2 linked regions of the Anolis sagrei genome follow. The protein of the gene in region 1 interacts with the protein of each later gene in a biochemical or structural test. Links are inferred from orthologs where the notes say so. Each region holds a gene or a part of one and is shown in the gene's direction. Other genes may lie near its edges.

The links. The genes of interacting proteins can lie anywhere in the genome.
Region 2: of the proteins of SIAH1 (region 1) and HIPK2, one has a biochemical effect on the other in vitro, tested with the Homo sapiens proteins (4 studies listed by BioGRID, with this or other methods). The link is inferred for Anolis sagrei from reciprocal best matches to the Homo sapiens genes SIAH1 and HIPK2.

What each region holds. Positions count from the first base shown.
Region 1 is NC_090028.1:36,559,112-36,566,567, forward strand, and holds the start of SIAH1 (E3 ubiquitin-protein ligase SIAH1), read left to right. Parts: upstream 1-4,455; 5' UTR 4,456-4,948; coding exon 4,949-5,039; intron 5,040-5,071; exon of another isoform or gene 5,072-5,173; coding exon of another isoform or gene 5,174-5,207; intron 5,208-7,456. UniProt on the Homo sapiens protein: E3 ubiquitin-protein ligase that mediates ubiquitination and subsequent proteasomal degradation of target proteins.
Region 2 is NC_090025.1:172,264,034-172,270,970, forward strand, and holds the start of HIPK2 (homeodomain-interacting protein kinase 2), read left to right. Parts: upstream 1-3,930; 5' UTR 3,931-4,695; coding exon 4,696-4,714; intron 4,715-6,937.

The sequences.
Region 1 (7,456 bases):
CTACTGCTGCAAACCCATACTACTTGCATCAGGCCTATTTTGTATAAGCAAGGCTTGAAAACCTTTCCATTTCCTCAGCCCATATAGATGGAGAGGAAGATGATGCACCAGCACTGCAGTGGCAAATGAATTGCATAGGAATAAACCATTTTACCCTGTTCCTCAAGAGTGGGATTATGGTGGTCATTGTGCTTCGTTCTTCTTACCCTGTCAGACTGTTGTTTTTGGCAGTTGTCTTTCAGTCCCAAATTAATGCTTGTGTGAACTCTTAAATGTTCTGATGTACTTGAGTTTTGGAAGGCCTTCTCTGCTGTCTAAGGAGAGCTATATATGTCTCAAATGGATGAATCCTTTGAAGATTTATTCTGCAAACAATGTAGAATATTGTTGGAAGCTTTCATATATATTTAGTTGCTTAGATTTGGTCTTAGTCCAGATGACTGCTAAATGATGTGTGTCTGCAGTGAAATTCTGAATTATTTCCTTCTGGAAACAAACCCTCCAATAATGTTTGGGAAACTTCAGAGGTGACCCCCAACACAGGAAAGTGCTTATGATAGGAGGAAAATAGGATTGAAAGTTTTAATGTGTACTCAGACCATTGTATACTGCAAGTGGAAATCTTTTAAACTACACAGAGACAGAGGTCCAAATAAAAGCTACTTATTTAATATTGGCACTATTATTTATAGAATTTTAATGTTTATGGGTACCACATATGAAATTGAGGAAAAATTATTGTAATTTGGTGGTGTTCGTATCAGATTAAAGCATTGCAAGTATGTTGAATGGTATTATAACATTAGTGACTTTGTAACTAAGTTAGTTATTTACTTCATTGTGAGTTTCTATTCTCATCTTGCAGGTTACATATAGCCAACCTTTGAAATAACAGTTTGCTCCCCCCCCCCCTCATTTTTCCTGTGCACCCTTTCTCACTAGAACTGGCCAGTTGTCCCTCATGAAATCTTGCGGTTGACCATTTCACCCAGTTCCCACCCCATTGCCTGCTTTATGCCCATTTGGACTTTTTTCTCTCTTCAAAATGGGAAGTGGTTGTCATTGCGGTTTGAGAAATAATCCATATGGCACTAAAATAGTCTATATGAGCTAAAAGAGGTATTGAGAAATTGAATTAAATGTCTGGTTGTAACTTTTGCTGAAAGAAGTTTTTTAAAACACTTTTTTGGGGGGGTTGGTGGGTAAGGGAGGAGATACAAAAGTGGGGAGAGTCTGGTCTTCTATGGTCCTGGGATGATAAAGCCTCTGTCATGTCCTGATACTTCTAATAATGTGGATTGAAAACTGGAGTTTGAATTATTTGATTGAGGAATAGTTTTAGAAACAATTAATCATTTCTATTAAGTTATCTATGTTTGGATTGTTCAAAAATAACCAAACTTCTATGTATCATTGGAGTCAGCTGGGGCTTTGCAGGTGTTGGACTAGTGCCTGGATGCTGTCATGGGCTGGATGAAGGCCAGTAAACTGAAGCTGAATCCTGGTAGACGTAGGCTCTGTGAAATGGAAGTTATTCCATCCAGGAATTGAGTAACAGTTTGTTCTGGATGGGGTTGGACTCTCCATAAAGCAACAGATATCCAGCTTGGGAATGCTCCTAGTTTCCATCCGTGTCACTGAAGGCTAAAGTGGGCTTTGTAACCCAGAGTGCTTCATGCCAGCTTTGACTGGTGCCTATGACCTTTCCTGGATAACCTAACCACAGGTAATTCATGCACTGGGAACCTTCTAGGCTACTGCACTGTGTTCTGCATGGGGCTGCCATTGAAGGTTTGGAAACTGCAGTTAGTGCAAAGTACAGCAGCTTGACTGCTGAAGAAATATCATATACACAACATTTAATGCCAGTTTTAAAATAATTGCACTGGCTGCCAATACATTTCAGGTCTGAATACAAGGTGCTTATGGGGATACCGCAAGCCCTAAATAACTCTGACACTTGAAGGAATGCCTCTTCCTATGTTTACCTGTCTGAGAATTAAGATCTTCAGAAGAGGAGGGGTTTTCCCTGTCCCACCATGAGATGACTATGTCAGGACATGGGAGAAAGGCTTCTCAGCTGTTGCATCCCAGCTATGGAATGCTCATCTCCTGGAGGCCCAGCTGGCACCAATGCTCCTCCCATGAAAGCCTTTGAACCTCATTAATGCAACCTAAATATTATTATTTACAACTTTTTCAACTTGGTTTTTAAACATATTGTTGGATGTGATTTAAGTTTATGTACAGTCTGTTGCTGTTTTAGCCCGTTTAACCTGTTCTACTGCTGTTACAAATTTCCTTGCGATCACTTGACATAGGATGGGGTGTAAATATTTTAATAAATATATAAAATAAAGTGCAATGCTTTTTTTGTTATTAGAGTAGTGCTTTGGAAGAAAAATGAATAGCAAATACAGTCTAGAGTATATAATTTCAGGATGTTAGTGATATATTGTCGTTATCTATGTTTTCTTAGAGCTAAACATAGCTAAACACAGTCCAATTGCTACAGTTCTGGCAAGCAATTTTGTTTTCTCCAGTTTTTTTGTACTTCCTTTAGAAATACATTAATATAATAACTGTCATCACATCTGTAATGTAGAGCAGCAATGTAGTATGCATTGATACTACCTCTTCCATCTACTGATTATTTACATTTTACATTTATTTATTTACATTTTAAAAGATTAGGATTCCATGATTCAAAACATAGCACTGACCTGTAGTTGTCCCAACAGTTGGTTTGTGGCAACGTACCTAGCATATCTCTTTTCCATCTCATGTGGAACCAGGGTCATATTTAGGAAGTAAATGTATAAAAGAGAAGAAGAGAGAGGGGGCCAGGGGACATTCCATCTTGTCTCCAGTGCTATTCTAATAATATAAAATATAATAATATAATATAATATATATACATAAAATATTTATAATATTATAATGTAATGCAATATAATAATATATTATAATTATATATTTATATTACATGTAATATTACTAATAATATTACGATATAGTGATATGGTGCAATATAGCAATGTTTAATGCTGATATTGTACTATGCTAATAATATAATATATTGTATGTAATATATACCTTGTAAGCCGCTCTGAGTCCCCTTCAGGGTGAGAAGGGCGGCATATAAATGTCGTAAACAAACAAATAATAAATAAATAAAAGTACCAGATCCTGTATGATCTTGGAAACCAAGCATGTTCATCCCAGGTTAGTATTTCAGTGGGAGACCACCAATGGATATGAAGTTCTGTGAGCGATGTAGTTTGCATTAGCCACAGATTCATCCGTCCATGGTTTGAAAATATTGCAAATTTTGATTTTACACACAGTTTTACTATGCCATTGCATATAATGGGATTTAAGCATCCGTGAATCTTCATATCCATGGGATGTATGTGGGGATAGACTGGAAACAAATCAAGGACTAACTATATTCCAGTGAAAGGAACTCACAAAACCATCTCTGAGTATTCCTTGTTTAAGAAAACCCTATGAAGTTTTTAGGGTCTCTGTATGTCGACAGGTAACTTGAAGGCACAGGAGACTATCACTTTGTTTAGAAGCATTTTGAAGTGCCCGTGAAACAAAGATAAGAATAAAGAGCCATAATTTTGCTCCTTTTTTGTCGTTGTTGCCTTAACTGTGTATGTGTGCGCGTGTTTTTTTTACACATTATCCATATACATTCCTTAAATGCTTTAAACAGTGAAAAGTGTATCCATGAACTTCTAGAATTAGCAGTTGCTTCCTCCATGTGTCATCACTGTTGCTCTCTGCTGTGCCTAGTATTTTGTATATGGTAATCCCTCCCCCCATTTTTTGCAGAGACGACAACAACTTCCACCCCCGGATTACTATGTCCTCCACAGAGTTTGGGTTCGCTAAAGTTTCTTGAATTTTGCCAGCCCAGTTTGCTAAGGGAATCCTTTTCTGGCGAGATCACAGAGGAGAGTGCACTGCTAATGTTATCTCACTTTTGTTTCTTTTTTAAAAAATGATCCTTAGTTCAGAGAGCGGCCTTTTATGGGAAGGTCCAAAATTCAGAGGCTGTGCAGATGCTGTGCTTGCAAAGAGCTCCAGATTGAGTCACTGACCTGGCCAGGTAAAGTTGGAAAGGACCCCAGTAAACACCGTGGAGAATTGTTGCTAAGTTAGCATCGAAAGCCACATTGTACAGACATTGCCCTGACTCCTTAGCACAAGAATAGAGTGATGCCTTTGAGGTGAGCTGTGACTGGGGCTGGCCTTGCGTGGCAGAGAAAAAGCCCAACCCTTCTTTTCCCAGCGTCTCCTTTGCTGTGCTCAGCAGTCTCTGGCTCTGAGGAATGCTTGCCTTAGCTGGCTGCCAGCAGAGTCCGGCCGGTCATGTGAGACTGGTCCGCCCCATCACCCGCCTCCTTCCCTTCCCTCCCTGGGCTGAGGAGGGACGCCGCCTCTTCCTCCTCCTTTCCCTCCCATTTGTTAGGAGCTGAAGCAGAGCAAGATCAGGGCTCTGTCCACAGCCGGTGGCTTTACTCCTGGTGCTGCCGTCTTCACTTGTTTTGTCTTTGGCTGTACTCTTCATTCTTGGGCTAGAGCTTCATTATCGTCTGGTTGGATGCACTTGAAATCGTACAAGATGTGGTGTTGGAAATTCCAGGATCCTTATCAGGGAGCCTTGCTGATCTAGTGGATATACCTAATTGGAGCTTTGCCAGATCTACAGCTTCACCTCTTCTACTCCCACCTTGCTTTGGATTACTTGGAAAACTTTACTTCAACGCGGGGAGCTGACTTTCATTGCCCTGGTTTGTCCCAGGAGTGGCGAGCCTCTTGTGGCTGTGGCCCCCCTTCTGGGTGCTGTATTCCTGCCTTGGAGTTTCCAGGAGGGGCCTCTGTTGTGGATTGTTTTAGTTTCTATGGAGAAACGCAATGAGCTCTTTTACTCCTCATGACGGGGAAATCCGCCTTCAGTTTTTTATATGCGTGGAAAGGAGTCCTTGATACATGCCTGCCAGGAAATAAAGCCAGCAAAAGAAAAGGTAGCCATTGTTTGACCAGAATAGTTAGGTGCTGCATTTCAGTGTTAAAAGTTCGCTGTTGCCTGGGATATCACAAGCATGCACTCTTCATTGTTTGGCTCGATATCAGAAATGCCTCTGGGTAATTCTTCAGTATGAGAGCTGATCCTGCAGTTCTTAGTCCAGCTGGTAATTTCCTTTTTTGTAAAATCTAAGGAATTTAGCAAAATTAGGTTTGTGGCTTATACCTTTCCTTGTCTTTACATTCAATACATGTTTGAAAAGGGGCAGAAATAACTACAATCACTGATACACTTCATGGGAAAACAGACCAGTGTTGACATTGTCCACATGGCCTGTTTTACATTCTATCACTCTACAATAATGGCACCACCCTGGAATCTAGCGTGACCTGTAACACCGAAGAAATCTTATCAGGATCTGAATATAGTTTTCTTCCTGAAGTGCTGCCAAGTATTGAACTGACCTAACATGTTTGTCTTTAGTTACCATGATAAATAAAAATGGGGGGAGAGATAAGAGACTTGCCTTTCTTTGCTTTCATCTGAGTATCTTTTAATGCCAAGACACAAGAGATGCCATGTATTGTTTTCCCTTATGCTGACATCAAACATCCTGAACATATTTCTGCTCATTGGAATTTTGGAGCATGTAGTGGTAAAGAACAAAGTAGCTGGACTTCTCTCATATGATAATGGACTAAACTGGATTCGTGTAATCGTTATTGAGAGAAGTCTTGCTTTAATCAGAGCAGATGCATTTATAGGCTGCTGAAAGCTCTATCTGTATTTCAGAATTGGGCAGGACCTGACAGGCTCTGTGATGATGAGAAAGGATCCCACACTTAGCACACATTTTGTAGCTTGTGTTTTGGGAAGGCACATAAGGCATACTTAAGAGTAGTGGCTCAACAGGCTGTCCTGGTTCTCCTTGTTGTATGAGGATGAGTTTTCCATCCAGAGTCACAGGCCTTTTTGCATATATCCTCCTGATGTTGATCCTTTTCATTCCTAGAGACTTGTGTTGAGATTTCTGCCAGTGAAAATGACTGTGGTGGTTGACTTCAGCTGTTGCCAAGTAGTAAATTGCTCATTTTAACATTGCTTCTTCTTTGGGAGTTAATATAGCAGGTCATTAGAAACAGCTTGCAGATAACCACTCACTCCCACTATTTTGCATGTGTTCTGCAAAGGCAGCTTCACTCAGGTTGCTGATATATATATGTGTGTGTGTGTGTGTGTGTGTGTGAACCACAAGATAAAATCATATATATGTGTGTGTGTGTGTGTGTGTGAAAATCATATATATATGTGAACCACAAGATAAAATCTAAGCTTGGAATCAGGTTTGTCAAAGGTTGGGTCCAAGGTTGATTCCACAACAAAAGAAGAGTGTTAGTTACTCAAGAACAAAACATAAACTGTGCATGTTGATAGAAGAAAAGAAAATACTGTGGTTACCATAAACATATGACTGTCCCATTTAGTATCTGTGTTCCCATGGTGCTCTCAGGTTTAACTCTTCCATTTCAGTAGCATCTGCACACTGCAGTGGCCTTGTAATTTAATTACTCTTGGTTTTTTGTCCGGTTGCTCACTGCTTTATCTTGCAGAGATCTTATGATTACAGTACTTATCAACGCCTAATGGAAAAGGAGGTATGCAGATTTCCCACTAGGAAAATATACAATTTTTAGGGTATTTTCACAGTAATTTAAAAATGGAAGTGAACTTTATTTATTTCTAGTTCCATAATGGCATTTATTTTTAAAAATCAGTTTCATTTAATATTATATTATCTATGGCAAAACATAGATATTATGGTGATGGGGCTGATCAGTTGTTACTAGTAAAGTAATAATGTAAACACAACTACTGAAATGATTATTATTGTTGTAAACACAAGCAGAATGATACAAATGTCAAAAACAATCCCACAAGGTTAAACAGAAAAAATAGATAATGATATTCCACTTGCATTTTCTCTCAATTTGATATATCCTATTATCTTAACCTTACCAGCTCCACAATCAAGTCTCACTTGTATTCAGTAGTTTTTCTCCCCCTCCCCCACCCCACCCTCTGGTGTTATTTTAATTGATCAATCGTGAAGAAAGTATGATTCAGTTCTTTATATTATCCTTTTCTATTTACTTTAGCTATCAAAATTCCCCATTTGAGTCCCAATTCTTCTTGAAATGGCTTGTTGTGTATTTATTTAAAGAATGGTTGTGTTAGTTTTCTTATTGGTTTTTTTTTTTTAAAAAAATTGAACTTTCATATCATAACAGTTAGCTATCTAGGTTTAGGTATACCCAGCAAAAGTGAGAAAGGTGAATTTTTTATGTTGCATGTTGGATATCTGATCATTAGAAAACAAAGGAGACCCATGGCTTTCTTGATTGAATTACAGTGTAG
Region 2 (6,937 bases), on another chromosome or scaffold:
AGACAGGTTGTGCCAACAGCCCCAGGGAAATGCCCTGAAGACAAGTTACAAGAAAAGAGCTGGCAGTGCCAGGGCAGAAATTGAGCAAAAGAGATGGATCGCTTAAAATGAACACAGGAGGGGGCTCCCGTGCCTGTCACACTCAATCCAGAGACACGCTTCTGATGTGGCTCTTTTTAAGGTGGGAGTGGAGGGGCTCCATAAAGCAACAGTATAGGTTTATTTCACCATATTCATAAACACACTGTTTACAGCACACCGTTTTTTGGGGAAAGACTAAAGAGGAGAAAAGAGGCAGCAGCTCAGCACTCCTTATCTTTAAACAAGACCCACAAAGTTTGTGTTTGTGTGAAACAAAGAAATGCAGAGCACTTGAATAAAGGATCAGGAGTCTATCTTAGCTGATGTCTAAATACTGTGTTGTAAAATGTGTGACGTAAGAATATGATGTACTACTGTTAAAATCCTGAAATGTAATAGGGTGAAGAAAGGTCAAAAATAAATATTTTATAACTAATATTACTGATAAGATATGTTACGCAATGAATTTCTGCAACCACGAGCAGACATTTTTGCTGTTTAGAGCAGCCTTCCCAATTTTTTTTTTACCCTGGAGAAACCAGTGAAATAATACCGAGGTCTCAGAGAACCCTTGCCTAAAAATTATTATATTTATGTCTCTGTGCCTTCAAACACACTAAAGGCACTAGATCTCATCTGACTTTATAAACTAAGCAGGGTCAGCTATGTTTTGGATAGGAGTCCGCCAGCAAATACCAGGTGCTGTGGGATATATTTCAGAGGAAGGAACTGTCAAAACCTCTTCTGCGTATTCCTTGTTAAAGAAAACCCAATGAAATGTATGAGGTCACTATAAGACAGCAGGTAATTTGAAGGCATACAGAGAGAGAGAGAAAGAGAAAGAGTCATTTATAAACTTATGTTGACCCCTGAAATTCCATAGGTTTTCCCAGTTCCTTCCACTTAAATATTTGTTGGCAATATCCCATCCACTTTGGCAAACCCTGCTTAGGTTCCAAGATCAAACGGATTTGGGGTCTTTAAGATATTTAAGCCATTTATTATATTTACAACAACAACAACATCATCAACAATAACAACACTTGAGTTAGATTCTGCCCTATCTCCCCAAGGAGAATCAGGGTGGAGTCCAGTATACACAACACAAAGCTAAACATTCAATGCCTAGAAACAATGAAACACAAATAAAGGTAAAGGCTTCCCATTCTAGCTCTGAGGGGTGATGCTCATCACCGGTGCTCATTTCAATTTCTAAGCCAAAAAGCCTGGGTTGTCCATTGCCTTTAAACACCTCCTAGGTCATGTGGCTGGCATGACCTGCATGGAGTGCCATTTACCTTCCTGCGAGGCAGTGCCTGTTGAACTTCTCACATTTGCATGTTTTCAAGCTTCTAGGTTGGCAGAAGCTGGGGCTAATAGTGGGAGCTCACCCACTGATGAGCAGATTTGAACTGCCAACCTTTCGGGCAGCAAGTTCAGCAGCTCAGTGGTTTAATCTGTTGCATCACTGCAGATATAGATAATCAGAATTATTCTGTACTGATCTCTCACAAAATCACATGTGACCTCTTGTGGAATTTTACTATTCCAGGGAACCTTGGTTGAAAAGTCCTGGCTTAGGCAGTTTAGGAAAAAAGGAAGATTAGATTACAAATAGATATATTATTACAGATGTATATATTAAATCAAAGCAGTTCCTTTGGTGCTGAATTTACAAGGCCTGTGGAGGGATTTTGCTTATCCCAGTTTAAGGCCTCTCAAACAAGTTTGTGCTGTGCATTATTTTAATACTGCCTCTTTGAAATGCCTTCACATGAAGTGGCCAGTGTAGATGCACCCTAGAGCTCTTGGAGGAGCCACTGTGGGCCCTGTGTGTCTGCTGGGGTTTAGTCTCAGGACTCCTGCAGATACCAAAATCCAAGTCAGGCTCAATCTGGAAATGGCTGGGCCCTCAGTAGGTATCTACAAGAGTTTGGTTCCAGAACTTCTCATGAACACCAAAATCAAAGGATGTTCAAGTCCCATTATATGCAATGGCATAGTAAATAGTATATGTTATATAAAATGGCACAACCAGGTTTGCTTTTTGGAATTTTAAAAAACATTATCAAGCTGTAGATGCAGAACCCGCATAGGGAGGGCCAGCTTCGCAGTGCCTTCAAACTATGGCTTTGAGTCTGGTTCCAGAGAGGAAAGGAAGTACAAATAGATATAATAACCCAGAAGCTGATGAAGAAACACAACCTACAAACTATCTACAGACTCACTAAGAAAATCCAACAAATGCTACATTTGGCAAAGGACAAGAGGGATCCCCTCATCTCTGCAGGAGTCTACCGTATACCATGCAGCTGTGGACAAGTCTACATAGGGACCACCAAACACAGCATTGCCAAACATGAATCAAGGAAGATGAAAGGCACCGCACATTACTTCAAGCAGAGAAGTCAGCCATAGCAGAGCATCTGATGAACCAACCTCCGGGGGAGGCCATGTGACTGGTAGGGACAAGAGAGAGGGCTTTCTCAGTGATTGGCCCTCAACTTTGGAACTCCCTTCCTGGTGAGATTTGAGCAGTCCCTTCCCTCCTGTCTTTTAGAAGGATGATAAAAACTTGGCTGTGGGACCTAGCCATTGGGACAGTGCAATAAGGCAGCAATAAGAGCCCCGGTGGCACAGTGGGTTAAAGCGCTGAGCTGCTGAACTTGCTGACCAAAAGGTTGCAGGTTTGAATCAGGGGAGTGGGGTGAGCTTCTGCTGTTAGCCCTAGCTTCTGCCAACCTAGCAGTCCGAAAACATGCAAGTGTGAGTAGATCAATACGTACTGCTCTGGCAGGAAGGTAACGGCGCTCAATGCAGTCATGACCTTGGAGGTGTTAACACCGGCTCTTTGGCTTAGAAATGGAGATGAGCACCACCCCTAAGAGTCGGACACCACTGGATTTAATGTCAGGGGTAAACCTTTGCCTTTACTAGGAAACTTGAGGAGCCCCTGGTGGGGTAGCGCAATAGGTTAAACCCTTGTGCTGGCAGAACTGAAGAGGGGCAGGTTAGAGGTTCGGATTCTGGGGAGACCACGGTTGAGCTCCCTCTGTCAGCTCCAGCTCCCCATGCAGGGACATGAGAGAAGCCTCCCACAAGGATGGTAAAACATCCTGGTGTCCCCTGGGTAATGTCCTTAGGTAAAGGTAAAGTTATTCCCCTGATATTAAGTCCAGTTGTGTCTGACTCCGGGGTATGGTGCTCATCTCCATTTCTAAGCTGAAGAGCTGGCATTGTCTGTAGACACCTCCAAGGTCATGTGGCCCGGCATGACTGCATGGAGCGCTGTTACCTTCCCGCTGGAGCAGTACCTATTAATCTACTCACATTTGCATGTTTTCAAATTGCTAGGTTGGCCTTGCAGATGGCCAATTCTCTCACACCAGAAGCGACTTGCAGTTTATCAAGTAGCTCCTGACACACACACAAACCAACCCTCATCACACTAGAGAAAAAAAATCCACTTAAAATCTGGTTTCTGCCTCTTGTAGAATTCTGGAGTTTGTAGTTTAGGGAGGAACCTTTAACAGCCTCACTAAACTACAAACCCCAGAATTCTACAGGAGGCAGAAAGCGGATTTTAAGTGGATTTTTTTCCTCTGGTGTGATGAAGTGCTTGCAACCAGGTTTGATGCGGATGATTGAGACGGTTTAAGCAATAGTGGGAGCTGAAGTCCAAAACACCTGGAGGGAGGGCCCAAGTTTTGCCCGTGCCTGGCGTAGATCCTGGGGAAAGTTTTCCACAACTCGAGCGAGCAAGCCCTGCCACACCTCCCTCCTTGCCTGCCTGCCTGCCTTCCTGGCTACCGGCGGAGGGGGGCGGGCTCGGGGCTTGGCTCCCCTCCCTCCTTGTCTTCTCCTTCCTCGAAACGCGTCGTCCCTTCCCCACGATCGCGCGTCGCCCCCTTTTGTTCCCCTCCTTCCTTCGGGGAAGCCGCGATCCGTGCCATCGGCGCTTGATTATTTGCAAACTCCCTGTGCCTTCCCTCTTGCCCCCCCCCCCCTTCTCCCTCTCTCTTTTCCTCCTCCTCCTCGTTCTCTCATTGCTCTCCCTTCTCCGGCAACTTTTGCAGCCATCTCCCGGCCAGGACCGGCATGCGGAGCTGAGAGAGACCCCGTTTTCGTGGCTGCCTCTCCTTCCCCCCCTGCTTGAAGACCGAAGGGGGTCCCGGTGGTTTGGGGAGGAGGGGACTGGGGAGAGGTGCCTTCTCCTCCGCTTGACCTCTCCTCCTCCCCCTCCTCCTGCTTCTCCTCCTCCTTCTTCGCCCTGCCTTGCCTTGCCTTCCCTTTGAGCGGCTGCGGAGAGAAAGGGATGCGGGCAGGAGGCGGCTGGGCGACGCGGCGGCGGCGGTGGAGGAGGCTCCTCTCCGGAGAGACCCAGAGTCGGCTCAAGATGGCAGATTGCGATTGAGTTTTTTGCCACGCCGGGGGAGGGAGGAGGGGGGCCCGGGAGGAGGAGGAAGAAGAAGAAGAGGAGGAGGAGAAGGAGGCGAGGAAGGGGCTCCCCTTTGGAAGAAGAAGGAGAAGGAGAAGAACCCACAGGCACAGAGACAACCCTGCTTCGCTGGCGTCGCCTTTCGTGGCCATGAATAACAGGCAAACCTCGCACCCATGGCCCCCATGTACGAAGGTAAGCCCCGCCGCAGCAGAAGCCCTTTCTTTCCCATCCGAAGCAGAGGAGGAGGAGGAGGAGGAGGAAGAGACCGGGGGTACAGTCTATCTAAAACGGAGCAAACCCGGCAATTGGAAAGGATTCGGGATTAGAAGGAGAAGGGTGACCACCGATTTGGGGAACACCCCCTTTCACTATGGGGTTGCGGGGGGGGGGGTTCTTCTACACTCCCCCCCCCCCTGCTTTGTGTATATGGGATTCTCCCTCTGTATACTGAAGGATGGCTCTGGCAAGGTAGAACTAAGGTTTCGAGCATAACAACAATCATAATCAGGGATTCCTGTTATTCCTCTGCGCCTTCTCTACCTAAGCAGGCTGGTTCCTCACCAAACTATTACTATTATATTTAATGTTATCTTATAGTCTTATATTACTACTTCTATTATATTTTCTATTATGTTTATTGTATTTTATAGGATTGCTTTTAGTCTATTTTATATTATTATAATTCTATTTATATTACTACTTTTATTATATTATTATATTTTCTATTATTTTTATTATTTTCTATTATTTTTTCTATTACTACTTTTATTATATTTTCTGTTATGATTATTGTAATTTATAGGACTCCTTTTATTTAATTTAATATTACTATAATTCTATTTATATTATTACTTCCATTATATTTTTATTATAATTATTATATTTTCTATTTTATCATTTTTATATTATTATAATTATTATATTTTTATTACTACTTTTATTATATTTTATATTTTTATTATATTTTCTATTACTACTTTTATTATATTTTATATCATTATAATTATTATATTTTCTATTACTTACTTGTATTATATTATATATATTTATTATATTTTCTATTACTACTTTTATTATATTTTGTATTATTATAATTATTGTATTTTCTATTACTACTTTTATTTATATTATAATTATATTTATATTGCTACTTTTATTATATTTTCTATTATTGCAATTATTGTATTTTCTATTACTACTTTTATTATATATTATATTATTATTTTATGTTGCATATTAGTACTACTTTTATTATAATTTATATTATAACTACTACTTTTATTATATTATTGTATATGGTACTTAATAATTTATTATTATTATTATTATTATTATTATTATTAATGTATTAGTATCATTATCATCATCATTTTGAGGGGTTTTTCTTCCCCTCCCTGCTCTCTCCCCGCCCCCTTCGGAGCCGGTCCTTTGGAGAACCTTTCTTCTTCCTCTCCCCCCCCCCTTTCCCCCAGGGACGAGACAGTAGACAGTGCGGGAGGTCTAGACTACCTGGGGACAGGGCCCAGGCTTAGCAAAGTCTCTCTGCGGGAACAATGCCTTTTGACAGACGGCTGCCCGCAATCTCCAGCCTCGATCCTCAGCAAAAGAACCCACGGAAAGTCCTGCAGCTGCGTCACTCGCTGGCCCCGCTCTCCCCACCCTCACCACCCGTGGGTCTGGGCAGCTGAGTGCCTTTGCAGTGCCAGAGGTTTTATTTTCATTTTTTTTTTAGTGTGAAACATGGGAATCCTTGCTATAGGTAGAGATCTACACTGTAAAATGTATGTAGCTTGACACCCTCTTTGAAGTGCAGTGTCAGACTGCATCCACTCTACAGTGTAGATCAGGCCTGGGCCAACTTGGGCCCTCCAGGTGTTTTGGACTCCAGCTCCCACAATTCCTAACAGCCTAACGCATAAGCAGCTGAGGGGGAAAAGGAAAGGGCCTGAGGCTGTTAGGAATTGTGGGAGCTGGAGTACAAAACATCTGGAGGGCCCAAGTTGGCCCATGCCTAGTGTAGATACACACACATCTGTAGCAGTACATGTGTGCGTCTATACCAGGCATCCTCAAACTGCGGCCCTCCAGTTGTTTGGGCCTTCAACTCCCAGAATTCCTGACAATTAAACAAGCTCATTAGGGCTACTGGGAGTTAGAGGCCCAAACAGCTGGGGGGGGGGGGGGGGGACAGTTTGAAGATGCCTGGTCTATATATCCAAAGGAAGTGTTTTGTTCTCATTAAAATATCACAATGGATCTCAGTTTCGAGCTAAACAAGCCTGAGTTTGAATGGCACCGAGTTGACTAAAGTGCATGAAGTTGCCTTTTATATATATATGTGTGTGTGTTTTACTCTGGATCTTGTTCTCAGTTGCTTTCCTTGTCCTTTTCCCAAGCTTCATGGGAGTGGGGGAA